2 linked regions of the Alligator mississippiensis genome follow. The protein of the gene in region 1 purifies or fractionates together with the protein of each later gene. This does not show direct contact. Links are inferred from orthologs where the notes say so. Each region holds a gene or a part of one and is shown in the gene's direction. Other genes may lie near its edges.

Region 1 (7,060 bases):
CACAGTGGGGTGGTGGGGCATTGGGGGCAGCTGTCTGCTGGTGAGGGTAGAAGGGATGGGGTACAAGAGCTAATGGGACCCCAGGACAGGCTGTTGGGTAGACTGGACTGTGGCATTGGGGTGGACACATCACCCACTGGCTCTTGGGGACAAAGGGACCCAGACAAGGCCCAGCCAAAGGGTCCAGACACCCCTGCTTTGTTTCCCCATCACTCACCGGGAGGGAAATATCTTGCTCATCCCGGAACTCAGGCAGGGTCTCGAGGCAGAAGATGACAATGGAGATGAGGATGACAAGGACGGAGATGATGGCGATGATACGAGCAGCCTGTGAGCTTTCAGGGTACTCAAAAAGCAGCCACACCTGCTTAAGGAACTCCCGCTCAGGCAATGCCCGCTCCTCCTCCTTGATGAAGCCCTCATCCTCCCGGAATTTGGTGAGGGCATCTTCGCCCAGCTGGTAGAACTTGAGCTCCTCCAGAAAGATGTCGATGGGCACGTTGGCAGGGCGCCGCAGCCGTCCACCTGACTGGTAGTAGTATAGGATGGAGTCGAAGCAGGGCCGGTTGCGGTCGAAGAAATACTCGTTGCGCAGTGGGTCAAAGTAGTGCACCCTGCGCCGAGGGTCACCCAGCAGCGTATCAGGAAACTGGCGCAGCGTCTTGACTTGTGTCTCAAAGCGCAGCCCCGAGACGTTGATGACCACCCGCTCGCAGCAGTCCTTGTGTGGGCAGAGTGGGTAGGGGCCCCCTGGCTCAGCCAGGGGCTTCTCCATGTCTGGCACACTCAGAGCGTGGGGCTGGGGGCCATGGGCCAGTGGGTGGGGGCTTCCTGCTGTGGCCTGGGCCCCTTCGTCCGGCCTCGGCTCCTCTTTCCACTGATGCGTCTCGTCTCTTCTACCGTGGGTTCCCCCCTCCCTTCGTTTCTGGCACTGACACGGTCCTTAATTCACTCCACAAATTCCACCCCCCACCTTACTCACTCCACTCTGTCTCCCCACTGCTCTGACCAGCTCCTTCTGTCCCACTATCTTCCTCCCCTACAGGCGCTTTCCTCTTCTTCCCGTTTTTCTCTCCTTTTTCTCTCTCTCTCAGTTTTTTTCTAATGGACCAGTCTTATCCCCTCCACTTTCCACCTCGGGACCCTCCCAGCAGCCCCTTTGCTTGGCATTCCCTTCTTTTCTGCTGCTCCCCCCCCCCCCACCCAGGTTCTTTACCCCAGACTGTTCTGTCCGTCTGTCCGTCCCAATGCCAGTGCTCAGGTCCTCTGCCTGTAAACACTTTCTCAGACCAGGGAGGTGTCATGTTGCCGGGCTGCACAGACTCCTAGCCCCCCTGTGCCAAAATTCAGTACCCGCCCCCTCCCCACTGCCCTCCCCACCCCAGCCACACTTAGCTCTGGGGGTGCTAAAAATAGCAGGGGGAGGACAACTCCCGAGGACAGGGTTGCAAAGGAAGGCAGGGCACCCGGGGTGCTGGAAGCCTGGACGCCTGGGTTCTTGCCCAGCTCTGAGAGGGGAGTGGAGTCTAATAGAGGAAGAGAGGACTAGGAGCCAGGACTCCTGGGTTCAATGCCAGCTCTGGGAGGGAAGTGGGGTCTGGCAGGTTGGAAGAAGGGCCTGGGTGTAAGATGAGGGTCAAGGCCATAGGTTACAGACACTGGTGTCCCTTCCATCACAGGCAGGGAGAGGTGTTCAGGACTGTGCCATAGCAACTGGACAATGACCCCTGACTCGTGCCATAGTAATCAGAACAATCACACCTGACCTCTGCTATGGCAACCAGAGCATTGACTGCTGATCTATCCTATAGCTTGTTTGGGTGGTTTGACACCTCCCAGGCAGTAATTCCTAAGAAACCTAATTAAACATGACACAGTTAATTAACCTAGTAAACTTAGAGCTGGAGCTGGAACCCCGGAGTCCTGGCTCCATGCCCTCCTGCTGTAACCTGCCAACCCCAATTCTTTTCCCAGAGCTGGGAGAGAACCCAGGTGCTCTGACTCCCAGTTCCCCCTGGTCTCACCCCCAGACTGCACTCCCCTTCCAGAGCTGCAATAGGACCCATCCTGACTCCCAACCCCCTGCCTTGCTCTAACTCACCAGACCCCATCCCTCTCACTGTCTCAGACACCTTCTGCTCCCCCCTGCTTGCTCTGTGTGTGTGTGGTGGGTCAGTGTCCCAGGGTGACCATTGTAACAGGTGCACAGCTTTTAAATGCATTTTAAGGTTTGTGTAGAAATGCTTATCCAGGATGCTCTGTGTGTGTGTATATATATATATATATATATATATATACACATACATACACATATACACACACACACATATATATATACATATATATTTTTTTTTAATCCTCCCCCCCCCCCCCAAAAAAAAAAAAGTCAGTGTCCCTTCCAGGTGAATGGTGTCCTCTTCTGCCCCCCACGGTTATCTCTTTCTCCCTCTTCAGGCCACTGGGCCTTACCAGAAGCAGGCCTGGGACATATGGGTCCAGGGGCACCACTGGGCAGGCCTGGGGTATGGAGGCTCTTGTGATTCAACGATTTGTAAGACATGGGTCAGAGGTCTTTGCCCTGGTTGCTATAGCATAAATTAGGGGTTGTCACCCTGCTTTCTGAGCCCTGGCTGCTATGGTACAGGTCAGGGATCATTGTCCCAGTTGCTATGGCATTGGTCAGAGGTAATCTTTGTGGTTACTATAGCAGATCAGCAGTCAATGCTCTGGTTGACATAGCAGAGGTCAGGTGTGATTGTTCTGGTTACTATGGCACGAGTCAGGGGTCATTATCCAGTTGCTATGGCACAGACCTGAGGTTGTTCCCCTGTTGCTATGGCATGGATCAGGGGTCACCATTCTGGTTGCTATGGAAATGGTCAGGGATTGTTGTCCCAGTTGGTATGGCAGAGGTCTAGGGTCTTTGCCCTGGTTACTATAGCATGGGTCACAGTTCACTGCCATACTTGCTATGGCCTGGGTCAGAGCTTATTGTTGCAGTTACTATGGCATGGGTTAGGTGGCACTGCTGCTTTTGCTATGGCGCAAGTCACAGACCATTGCCCTTGTTGCTGTGGCTTGGATCAGGGGCCATTTCTTCAGTTTCCGTGGCATGTGTCAGGACTCAATGCCCTGGTTTCTAAGACCTGGGTCAGGGGTCATTGTTGTGATTACTATGGCACAGGTCAGCAGTCATTGTTCTGTTGTCAGAGGAGCCAAGTACGTGGGGGCCCAAGGTCACTGGCCCCCCACGTGAAGCGGGGTGTCACCTGAAATGCATAAAACTTTCCACATGCCCATCATCTCAGGGCCCACACTGGCAAAAAAATAAAATTTGGTGCTTATGTCTGTTGCTATAGCATAGGCCTGGGGTGGTATCCCCAGCTGCTGTGGCATAGGTCAGGGTTATCGTGTGGTTGCGAGGACACAGGCCTGGGGTTGTTTCTCCAGTTGCAATGGCATGGCACTGGAGTCCTTGTCCTGGTTACTAGGGCCTAGGTCAGAGTCATTCTTGTTTGTATGGGACTGGTCAGCGGTTGTGGTTCTGGTTGCTATGGCACAGGTCAGGGATCATTGCCTCATTTGCTTTGACACAGGTCAGGTTCTGGTTGTTAAGGCATGAGTTGGGGTCATGGTTTTGGTTGCTAAGGCACAGGTCAGGGGTCATTGCCTTAGCTGCTATGGCACAGGTCTGGAGTCATGGTTCGGGTTGCCAAGGCACTGGTAAGGGGTCACTGGCTGAGTTGCTAGGGCCCAGGTCAGGGGTCATGGTTCTGGTTGCTATGGCACACGTCTGGGGCCGTCACCCTGGTTGCATGGCACTGACCTGGGGCGGTCCCCGTACTGTCACGTGGCTCCGCCTCCCGCCCTTCCCTTCCCCCCTCCCCGTGATCCGGGACTATTTTCCGACGGCGACCGCGGAAGAGCCTCGATTTTGACACTCGCGAACTTACCGCGAGTCTCGCGCTGCCTCCGAGACTAGGCCCGGCAGCGGAGAAATCCGGCGCGGTGAGAGGGTTGCGCCTGCGCAGAGCGGCGGAAGAGTAGGCCCGCGGCAGGCGGCGACGGCAGCAGCAGGAGGAGCTGAGCGCGGCGCGGCCCGGGCGGTGGGTGGATGAGGGAGGGAGGGCGGGAAGGAGCAGGGGGGTTGGGGGAGAAGGGAGTGGCGTATGGGGCAGGGTCTGGGAGGGGGACTGGGGTGGGTGTGTGGGGAGGGAGGAGGGCTCGGTGGGAAGGGGGCGGGCTGGGCTCGAGCCCAGTTGGGAGAGGAGGTTGGGGCAGGCAGGAGGAGCAGCGGTGTTGTGGGGGGGGACATGGGGGAAGAGGGTCTGCAGCCCAACAGGGTTCATGGCGGGGGCAGCGCTCCATGCAGGCTCCTGACGGGTCATTGTCTGCTGTTTCCCCATCAGATTCCCCACGATGACGCAGTTCCTCCCCCCCAACTTGCTGGCACTCTTTGCCCCCCGAGACCCCATCCCTTATCTGCCCCCTCTGGAGAAGCTGCCCCATGAGAAACACCACAACCAGCCCTACTCTGGCATTGCCCCTTACATCCGGGAGTTTGAGGTGAGTGCTCACTGCTCCCACCCAGCAGCCTAGCCTGGACTGGCTAATGCTGGACTCTCTCTCTGTTTCTTTGCTCTGAAGCCACCAAGTTTGCCCTCTGCCAGTTCAGGCTACCCTTATGTCTCCTTGGTGCCCTGCCACTATGCTGCTTTCTCTCTTCCAGGACCCACGTGATGCCCCTCCACCCACCCGTGCCGAGACCCGTGAAGAGCGGATGGAGCGGAAGGTACAACTGCCCTGCCAGCTTCAGAGGACCCCAGTGCCCCCTGGTGTTACAGCCAGCAGTGGTGGGAGAAAGGGGCTGGGGGCATTAAGAAGCCATCCCTGTATTATGTGGCAAAGGGGCAAGTTTGGGTGAAACTTAACTACCGCATTCTCTCTAATATTCTCTGTTGTTTCTCTTCTCCAATGATTCCAGCACAGGAAAAAGAACCCAGATGTTCTGGGTCTATTTCTCTTTTCTGCTCTAGCCTAGTGGGTTAAAGAGCTGGGAACCTGGATGTCTGGGTTCTGTCCCTAGAGAGGAGAGGAATGGGATTGAGTGGAGTTGGGGAGCTAGGAGCCAGGACTGGTGGGTTGTATTTTGTGACAGTTTTGTCCTTGGCCTTGGCTTACTTTGGAGGTGAGGTCCCCAGTAGCCCCATCTACAAGTTGAAGATAACAACCCCTCAGAGCATGTTGAGGGTGAAACAGTGGTATCTTTAAAAGTCATGGTTTGTGATCTGTGCCATAGTAACCAGAATGATGATCCCATGACCTAGGCCATAGTAGTCAGGGCAAGGCCCCCAGTCTTGAGCCATAGCAACTGGGGAAACAACCCCAAGCCTGTCCCATAGCAACCAGGTAGTTACCTGATGCAGCTCCACCACCTCCCCTGTTACCCCCTGGGATTACCGGTTCCCCTGGGAGGGGTTTCCAGCACTTTCTGGACCTGGGGAAAGCTACCAGCTGTTACCTGTTCATTTTCCTTTCTGCAGAGAAGAGAGAAGATTGAGCGGAGGCAGCAAGAGGTGGAGAGTGAGCTGAAGATGTGTAAGTGAGGGGGTGAGGTTCCTGCTCCGGTTCATCTAACCTAGCTCTGCAGCCTCTGCCCATCCTCAGCTGTGACTTATCCCACTTCTGACTTGGGTGGGAGGCCACCCAGTGACTGTGGGGGTGAGGGGTTCTCTTTGCCCACCTCTTATACATATCCTTGTTTTCTGCCCATCCAGGGGACCCACACAACGACCCCAATGCACAGGGTGATGCCTTCAAGACCCTATTTGTGGCCAGAGTAGTAAGTGTCTCCCCTTCTCCTTGCCTCTTATACTGTGTAGAAACAGCTTCCATATTACTTACCTGCGTCTAATCTTGGTTTTTACCATTAGGGTCAGGGGGGATCCTTTTCCGGGGTTCCTATCCTCTTCCCTTCCCCCTGCCCCCTGATCTTCCTGAATCCTCACCAGCCTGTCCTTTAAACCCTGTAGAACTACGACACAACAGAATCCAAGCTGAGAAGAGAATTTGAAGTCTATGGCCCTATCAAGCGGGTAAGAACCCACCTTCTGCATCGTGCCCACGAAGCTGTTTCAGCTTCTTCACAGCAAGGAAAGCCCAGGCATGGAGACAGTGCCAAATTCTGCACCCTTAGTGTGAATCCAAACCCCCTTTCAGGGCATGTGCCAGTGGCCACCTACTGTTGACCCAGCTATAAACAGGCATCATCTCACCTGTGCTCAGGGTGGGGAAGGCACCTGGCCATGATGCCAGCCCCATTGCTCCCTTACATGTCACTGGGGTAACCACACAGGCCTGGTGAGCAGCTCAGCACTGGTAGACCTTAATCCCTCCCCACCCCAGGAAAAACCTTTTATCGTTTGGTGGCCAATGGCATCCACTCAATGGACACTGAATCCAGATGCTTTTTTCCAATCCATATGTATTGTAAGAGCCTTTAACCATGAGGGAAATGGGGTGATGGGCTGCCCCAGCCTGGCTCTGTCCTGGAAGATGCTTCTGGTGCAGCCTGAATCCCTGGGCTATGTGAAAGGAGAAGCGGGTGCCTGTGTTAGTGCCTGCTCTGAATTGTTAGGGGCTGACTTGCCCCTTGGGCAATTCAGCAGAGTCTCAACCAAGAATCTGCCCCCTTTGACACTACCCTGCTGTGTCCCGGGGTATTGGGAACAGTATTCCACAAGCCTTTGTGGTTGGTTAAGAGTCCAGCATGTGGGCTCTGCCATGCTGGCTGCCACCAGGGAAAACTCAAGTACTTTGTGTTATGGCTGTGGTTCACCTGTATGGCAGTAGTCTTTAAGGGGATCTTTCCCTCTCCTGGAACTCCAGTGCTGCCCTCTGCCAAGGGGGTGCCAGCAAGTCATCTCCACAGCTGTCAGGTCCATTTGAGCCACCCAGAGGAATACAAGAGCACCCTCTGCTGGTCAGCGGAGATGGGGATTCTGAGGCTGGTTTGGCAATGGGTACATAGCTGTTGTCATTTGTTCTCTCTGCCCTTCCC
Region 2 (7,500 bases), about 97 Mb from region 1:
CTTTCTTCTTTTCTGGGAGAGAACTAAATTATCACTTTGGTGGTGGTACCTTACAGTTGAGATCTGATTTCAGTTTGTCACAGTGATCTTTTGGAATATTGCATTAGTTGTGAAGGTTGCCCTCATAACAAAGTAAGTTTCATGTGGAAACCACAATGATGCTGGTGTTAGGTGTGTGTTGATGTATTAACAGGCCTACTCAGCTGACAGGTGAGCAGGGTAGTTCCAGCCAAGTTATGTGATTTTGATGGGAGAGGTCTGTGGTGCTGCTCATGTGTCAACATACCCAGATGTTGGAGTGTTATGATAGACTCAAATCATGTTCTGAGCTAATATAACTTCACTCTAAGAACAGGGAAGTGGAGTTTGCTTTCTAGATTTTACAGTTGAATTTCATTTGTCATAATAGTCCATGTGAGCAAGAGTCCTATTTGTATACATATCACTCTGTTTGCTCCAAACTTAAACAAAAATGTGTATTAATGCTTTGTTTAAAATGTGTGTTGTCTTTTGATGCAATATTCAATTAAATCATTGTTAGGGAGGGAAGAATAAGAAAGTGATTAGACATTTCTGAAGCAGCAAATGTCGGCACTGCCTAAATATTGCAGTCTTCAGACAATACTGTATTACAGTTTGACAGCTTAAGCACGATTCAAATTCAAATACAAGTTGTCTCAAGATATAAATGAAACCTAAGAATGTAAAACTCCTTCTACTGTGTTTATTGAACCCTCTTATGCTAAAGGTCCAAAGTACTACCTTATTTTAAGAACAGTCACCATGTAGAAGATGCACTCCACATTGTTTTTTGTTAGTCACTGCTTCTATACATTTTGGGGTAACCTGTGGAAGAAAACAACTCTGGGGAGATGGACTTCTCTTAAATTCCATTTTTTTGCACTTGGGAGCAAAAGCAACTTGCTTTTCATGCATGATGTTGTAACACTTCTTAAAAAAAAAAAAAAAAAAGACTAAGGTACAAAAATAATTTGTGTTAGTTATCAATAAATGTGTGTCTTAAATTTAGTGCTTCCAAGCTGTATTTAAAAAAATAGATAATCCTAATCAAGGACCAATTTTAAAATATTTTGCCATTTTATTTTATATGGTTTCAGGAAAACCAGACATGAAATTTGCTTAAGACGCTGTGCATTGTTTAATATTTCTTGTAAGTACAGCTGTATATTCATATTGCAATTATGAAGTTTAAATATTAGAAGAAAAATGTAGAATACTAGGGTTAGCACAACTGTTAGTCACTATTGAAACTAGTACACAAAACTGATGCTGCAGTGTATCATTGTGTTATGATTGAAAATATGTACAGTTTTTTTGCAATGGTAATTGTTCATTTTAACCTCAAATGTTTCTGAAGGCCTCTCTGGGTTTTGTTTTTAAACATTACCTGTTATCTGTACATTACTTATACTAGTAAGGAAAAAGCAAAATACCTGTCTAGCTTTTTAGATACTATAATGGAAATATCGGTTGATGGTTGAACTGGAAATTTCTCTAACTTAATCTCAGACATAACTGCATAATAGATAAGCGTGCATCATAGCTTAAAATAATGATTGGAAGGTCTCACTAGCGGGGCATTTTGAAACGTGGCTCAAGTAAATCTTCTGTGCATCCTCTGTTTAAGAGTTTGCAACAAAGACCAAACTTGAATGGTTAATGTACCTATGTAGCAAGACCTGATGTATGTTTTGAGAGTTGGAAGGGTGTCTCTCCTTCAGTACTTTGCAAAGTCTGTATTTCTAAATTCACATATGGTGTACTCCATAAATTACAATAAAATTTCAATCTTTTCTAGATTTTTTTTTTTTGGTCTTTTTTTCCCTTAGAGGTAAATATTTTTAATTGTACCTTATAGGCAAGCAGCACTCAACAACACTGGAGGAAGGCCTAATGGGGGGGGGGAATACAAGGTCCTACTATTTTGCACTTAATTTTAATGGATGATTAGTATGTGAAAATTCTCAAATTAGCATAACAATTCTCTCTCCTTTTTGGAAGCAAGCCTAGAAATGAGTTAGTTATAATAATTTCCTCCCCTTAAGCTTGTTCTGTATTGCCTACACAAGTGTGAGGGGTGAAGACTAGTACTATGGTTGGTTTCTGTCACAACCCAAAGTTGTGGTTTTTGTTTGTGTGTGCTTTGGCACCGCTAAATTATTGTTCCCGCCTAAATTGTAGCTTTCTTTGCACGGTAGAGTTCTCTGCTGCGGGAGAGAACTCTGGTGCAACAGGGGATTTCCCACCAATTTGCAGCTTCTTTGCAGGGTGCATTTCTTTTGCATCTCAGAGATGTACGGTGCAAAGGAGTTCTCGCCATTTGTATTCAGATTCGCGCCACTTTATTGGCCGGCTCTGAATGTAGGCACGCGTGGCGGCTAGCTATTGGCTTGCTAGCTGTACAAAAGGCTCGAGTTGTTTCCGCCCAAGTTGGAGGACTCCACGAACACCAGGAGGAGGAGACTTCACCCAGTGTGAAGATCTCTAAGCACTGCGGATCCTCACGGACCCAACGCGTCTCAAGCAGGCAATAAAGGCTTAATAATCAAGCCCCCAGAGCTCTAACTACTCTGGAGGGAAAAAGGAAAAAGAACGAACCGCCTCCAGCCTCTCCCCGTCGCCGAGCGCAATCCCAGACGTATCCCTTTCCTGTAAACCCAATTTTTGAACCCACGGAGCCTTAACAACTCCGGGGGACCAGGGAACCGAACTGAGCCCGTGCAGCTTCAACAACTCCGTGGGAAAGAATTGCCGAACCTGTGGAGCCTAAACAACTCCATGGGAAGGAATTTGTCGTAGTCTTCCAGCGAGGATTTAAGCGGAGCTGCACCTGGAAAGCTGTCCAGCCTATACCACTACCATCTTTGGGTGTAAGTAAATAATCTTTTCAATCAACCACTACGCGTTTGTGACTGATTCTAGCTCACCGCTGGTTTTCTCCGACCCCGTGTGCCCGGGCTGCTGGCCACAGCCCACGTGTGCAAAAGACGGGCCACGGATCGCCCCTCCCGACTCGCACTTGGCGGCGGGATCGGGGCCTGGCCCACACAGTTTCTTCTACGTTTTTGCTTTATATATCCTCTTTTTAACAAAAAACGTGACCAAGGAAGTGACTACTCATACGTCCTGTATCAAAACACTCACTCCTGCAACATTTTAAAATGTATTTCAGTGTTTCTGTAGATGTTTCTGACCATCTGCAGGGGAGGGGTGGGGTCAGAGAACTGGAGCATCTGAGGGGTACGGGGAGAACTAGAGTATCTGACTCATTAAATATAAAAAAATGAGAAAGTAGTGTTTTTTTGAAGGGGCTGGATCCACCCCTTATTGAAAACCAGCAGTTTAGTATCTGACCTGTGACAGCTTGACTAAAGAGAGGAAATTTATTTCCACAATTTTTGTTTCCCCGACAACTCTCATTACTTGCTGTCAGGTTCTTGTCCCTTCCCCAAAAGAAACCCCCCCCCCCCCTTTTTTTTTTCTTGTGGATTGGTTAAGAATGCCAAGGAGAGGTCTGCACAAGGGGGATATTGTGCACTAGCAAGCAGGTGTTCTAGCTGCCTGGCTTCCCAGCACTGGACCCAGGACTTGGGGAGCCCCCCCAGGTAGGGAACCCCTGACATTCCCAGAATCCAGGGTAGCCCCTTGCTGAGAGATGGCCCCCTCGGCCAATCAGCAGCAAGAGGTATGTCTCCATGACCAATTGGCAGCAAGGGCTGGACCTATAGGACCCTTTGGCCAATCAGTGACAAAGGGTGGAGCCATCACAGAAAAAGGCCTTGGCCCCTCTCCCTGGGAGCCCTGCTTTTCCTAGCTGTGCCCTGACCTAGCTCTAGGCACAGCCAATAGAATGGCATGGACAAGTGAATGTCATGTATTTCCACCAATTAAATGAAAACAAGATGGGGGGGGGGGCAACGTTTAAACCAAGGAGGGATGCCCTCCCTGCTCTTAAGTTTTTTCCATTTATTTATTTTTTTTTTTTGTAATAAGACAAAAGTATTTGGCTGCAGCAGGGTTTGGCACTGGGGCTTCCTATTGGAAACCTCCGGGTTTCTCCTACAACTCCCGTTCATGCCACTTCTGCCCCCTCCGCTGGGACCCGTTGTCCTCCTCCTCCTCCCCCCCGCCCCCGCACTGGGCTGAGCAAGTAAAAGAAAGCAGTCAATGCGGCCGGCCCACCTCCTGCCCGGATTCAAGCTGGGGCACGTGACTGAAGCCCGCCACTCGGGGGCCGAACCAATCCGGTGTCCTCTGGCCTCCACTCCCGCCCCGCCCAGGAGTCCACTGCTCACGCGCGGCGCTTGCAGACGCTGCTAGGCCTCCCCCTAGCCAGCAGGTGGCGGCCGCGCGTTCACACGCACTTCCGGTGCCGCTTCCGCCCATTCATTTGTTAGTAGCTTTTGCCGCTTCCTTGGCGCGAGCCTCCGGCGCGGCCTGGTCTGAGGCCTCCGCACCGGGCTCAATTTTTTTCTCTTTTTTTCTCCGGCCGTTTGCTTCCCGCGGTCTCGGCTGCCGCCATGAAGCTCGTGAGGTGAGGAGGGCCCGGATGGAGCCGGATTTAGGAGCGGGCCCCGGCGGCGGGGAGTGGCGCGCGCCGGGCCTGGGCCTTTCCCGCCTCCTGCCTCACACCCCCAACGCCCGCTGCCCCTCACGGAGCCTCGCGCTCCTTGTCTGCTCCTTTCTTCCCCCTCACCTGCCCGGGTCACACTGCGCCGAGACCCCCGCGAGGGGCTTCGGAGCCCCCCCAATACACGCGCGCACACTGCGCATGCACATACGGCCCCGCGCGCCGGCTGCTCCCAAGGTTCGGTCCCATGGACCAAACTTTGGGAGCGGCCGACACGAGGCCGTATGTGCAGGGTGGGGCACACGCACACATGCATGTCCCCTGCCCCAGCAGAGTTGCTGAACTCAGGTGGGGGGAGTTGGGATGTCTGCCCCTGGGGTGCCCATTCCTGCCTTTGTTGCACCTGCCTGAAGGTCCCTGGCAAGGGGCTGCAGGTCCCTGATGGATTCCTACATTATTGGGTGCTGCTTTGAAGCCCCCCAGCATCGTTAATGTGTGCTCATCACGGCCTTGCCGTGTTCCATCGTTAGGATGTGTTTTTAACTGTGTGTTGGGCACAGAAGATGTGTGTGTTTACCTGTGGTTCGTTCCGCAGGTTTCTGATGAAGCTGAGCCACGAGACTGTCACCATCGAACTGAAGAATGGCACGCAGGTGCATGGCACCATCACAGGTAGGAGGCTCCAGTTGTTGATAAAGCACGGCTGGAAAACCCCCTCTGTCTTCCCAAGCAACTCCACCGCCTTCCCTAAATATTGATGTTTCGGGACACCTCTTGTGAAATGTCTGGTGGCCAAGTTCCTGCGATTGCATCCAAGCACTAGGATAAAGAATGTCAATTCATATTTTTTATTTGTGTATCAGTGCTGGGTGTTCAGGTAATAAAGATGTCTCATGTAAAGGTTAGCAGTTGGTCCAGAAGACAATGAATGGATGTTTTGGACCTCTAATAATCTAGATCTCGCCCAAATACAGATTGTTAGGGCTGCCCATAGTCGTGGTCATCTAGACTCCCTCTGGTCTCCTTTACAATAAGCAGCTGTTGCTAAATGCCAAAGGAGCAGAGATTTGCAGTTTTTTGGATGCTATTTAGAATAATAAGTATCTTCTTTATGGGAATCCTTACCAATCAGTTCTGTTATGTTCTGTGTCTCCCTCTGACCTTCTGCTCTCGTGTGTGCCTGGTGGCCGTTAGTGCTGTCAGCTCTGATTATGCTGCCCGTCTACATCATTTGCTTTCCAGCATGTTCATTAACATAACTTACCCCTCTTGCTAGAAATTGATGCTTGCAGTCCGTGTCTCTGTCTGGTTTTACAGGTAGCTGGGCTCTTTTTTATAAGGGAAGGGGCTCTTGCGAGAGCCTGGCTGCCTGTAGAAGCCACTAGGGCCATGGAAGCAGCGCGCTAAGCTAGCACTGACCTGCCAGCGGTTCTCATAGACTGCCATGAAAATGCTTCGAAGACTCTGGTTTACAGATCATAGATAGTCATGGTAATAAATCAAGAAGGAAGAATATTATTTTCTAATATCGTTTAACTTTCTAATGAGTTGTTTTGGGAGATGCTGAGAGCTAGTGGGTTGATCATAAGAACCAGGTCTCAACACACAAGTGGCTGTGGCAATATCCCTCTTGGGTCTTGTTTACACACAAACTTGCACTGGATTAACTAAAGGCACGTTTACAAAATTGATTTAAACTTCTCCACTTAAAGTCTTACCAACATAGTGAGGATGCTAAGGGGAGAAAGTCGTCCCCCAACCCTTCCACTTCATAATTATGTCAGTAGAAGTGTTTGTGTGCATATAGTTATGCCTGCTTGATACATTTTTTCATTTATATTTTATTTTACTTTTCCAAATGAATAAACTGTAGCCACATACAAATTTTGATGCAGGTATGGGCATCTGCAGCATGGGTTTTTGCCTCTCTTACTTTGTAAGCATAGCTAAATGGCAAAACTTTTTAAAGTAGTAAAACCTTAGTTAAACCAGTACAGATTTGCAGGGTGCTCTAAAACCTGATCTGTTTTGCTACACTTGTATCACTATAAAAGTATTTCCAACTTTAGCAGTGCTTCCAGGCTTAAAGGTTAACTTTTGTATGGCCACAAGCATTCACAGCTGTAATAGTTGCATCTTAACAGTAGTAGCACACTCCCCAGGACTAGCTCCCCTTCCACTTTTAGAGGAGCTAAAATTTTTGTTTGTTTATATTCCTCCTGGCCATAATCCTGTTTTTTTCACAATCTTATACTACTTCAAAGAACCTGCAGTTTAAATGGGCAAGGCAGACGCAGACTGTAGGGGGGGGAAGAGGTACTGGGGCAGAAGCCAAGTGAACAATGTGAGGACAGCAAATGATGAGGGGGTGTACAAATGTGGAATGTAACACAGTTTTCTTAAATGATCACTGTATGGAACACACCATCTCTTTGTGGTTGAAGTTCCTGGAGATGTAGCTGGTGTTTCAGTCTGTTGGGCTGTCCTTTAATGGCTGGGCCGCAGAAGAAAGTGACTTTCTGTTGCTGCGAGCTGGGTAATCAGTCTTTTGCATTAAATGTGAAAGACCTGTACTGGAGGTTCAGGATTCTTGCATTTTTAATGATGGGGGAGAGGTGTTGTTTCAAGAACAAATATTAGATTTGCTTTTATGTAAAAATATATAGGAAATGGTATACAATTGTATATATAGGAAATCCCAGAATTAAGAAGGTTGTCCATTAATTTTGTCTCCTTTATCATAGCACTTACATGATTGGGCTATTTTCCCTGCAGAGCTACTGCCTGGATCCAGTGATAGGATGAGCGGTGCTTAAGGAACAAATTAAATTTATGCTGCTAGTGAGATGTGTTGAGTGAGGTAGGGGACTCCAGGAAGAGAGGGGATGATTATGTAGTTAAGGTAGCTG

The links. Proteins that work in one complex are often made in the same cells at the same time.
Region 2: the proteins of SNRNP70 (region 1) and SNRPD1 purify together in Homo sapiens (affinity purification with mass spectrometry; 6 studies listed by BioGRID and IntAct, counting the BioPlex papers as one, with this or other methods). This does not show direct contact. The link is inferred for Alligator mississippiensis from reciprocal best matches to the Homo sapiens genes SNRNP70 and SNRPD1.

The regions. Positions count from the first base shown.
Region 1 is NC_081828.1:39,883,678-39,890,737, reverse strand, and holds the start of SNRNP70 (U1 small nuclear ribonucleoprotein 70 kDa), read left to right. Parts: upstream 1-3,996; 5' UTR 3,997-4,106; intron 4,107-4,409; 5' UTR 4,410-4,419; coding exon 4,420-4,566; intron 4,567-4,729; coding exon 4,730-4,792; intron 4,793-5,543; coding exon 5,544-5,598; intron 5,599-5,777; coding exon 5,778-5,842; intron 5,843-6,032; coding exon 6,033-6,095; intron 6,096-7,060. Other genes in the region: KCNA7 (potassium voltage-gated channel subfamily A member 7), read right to left, coding at 218-775. UniProt on the Homo sapiens protein: Component of the spliceosomal U1 snRNP, which is essential for recognition of the pre-mRNA 5' splice-site and the subsequent assembly of the spliceosome. SNRNP70 binds to the loop I region of U1-snRNA.
Region 2 is NC_081828.1:137,214,002-137,221,501, forward strand, and holds the start of SNRPD1 (small nuclear ribonucleoprotein Sm D1), read left to right. Parts: upstream 1-4,403; 5' UTR 4,404-4,541; coding exon 4,542-4,555; intron 4,556-5,186; coding exon 5,187-5,263; intron 5,264-7,500. UniProt on the Homo sapiens protein: Plays a role in pre-mRNA splicing as a core component of the spliceosomal U1, U2, U4 and U5 small nuclear ribonucleoproteins (snRNPs), the building blocks of the spliceosome.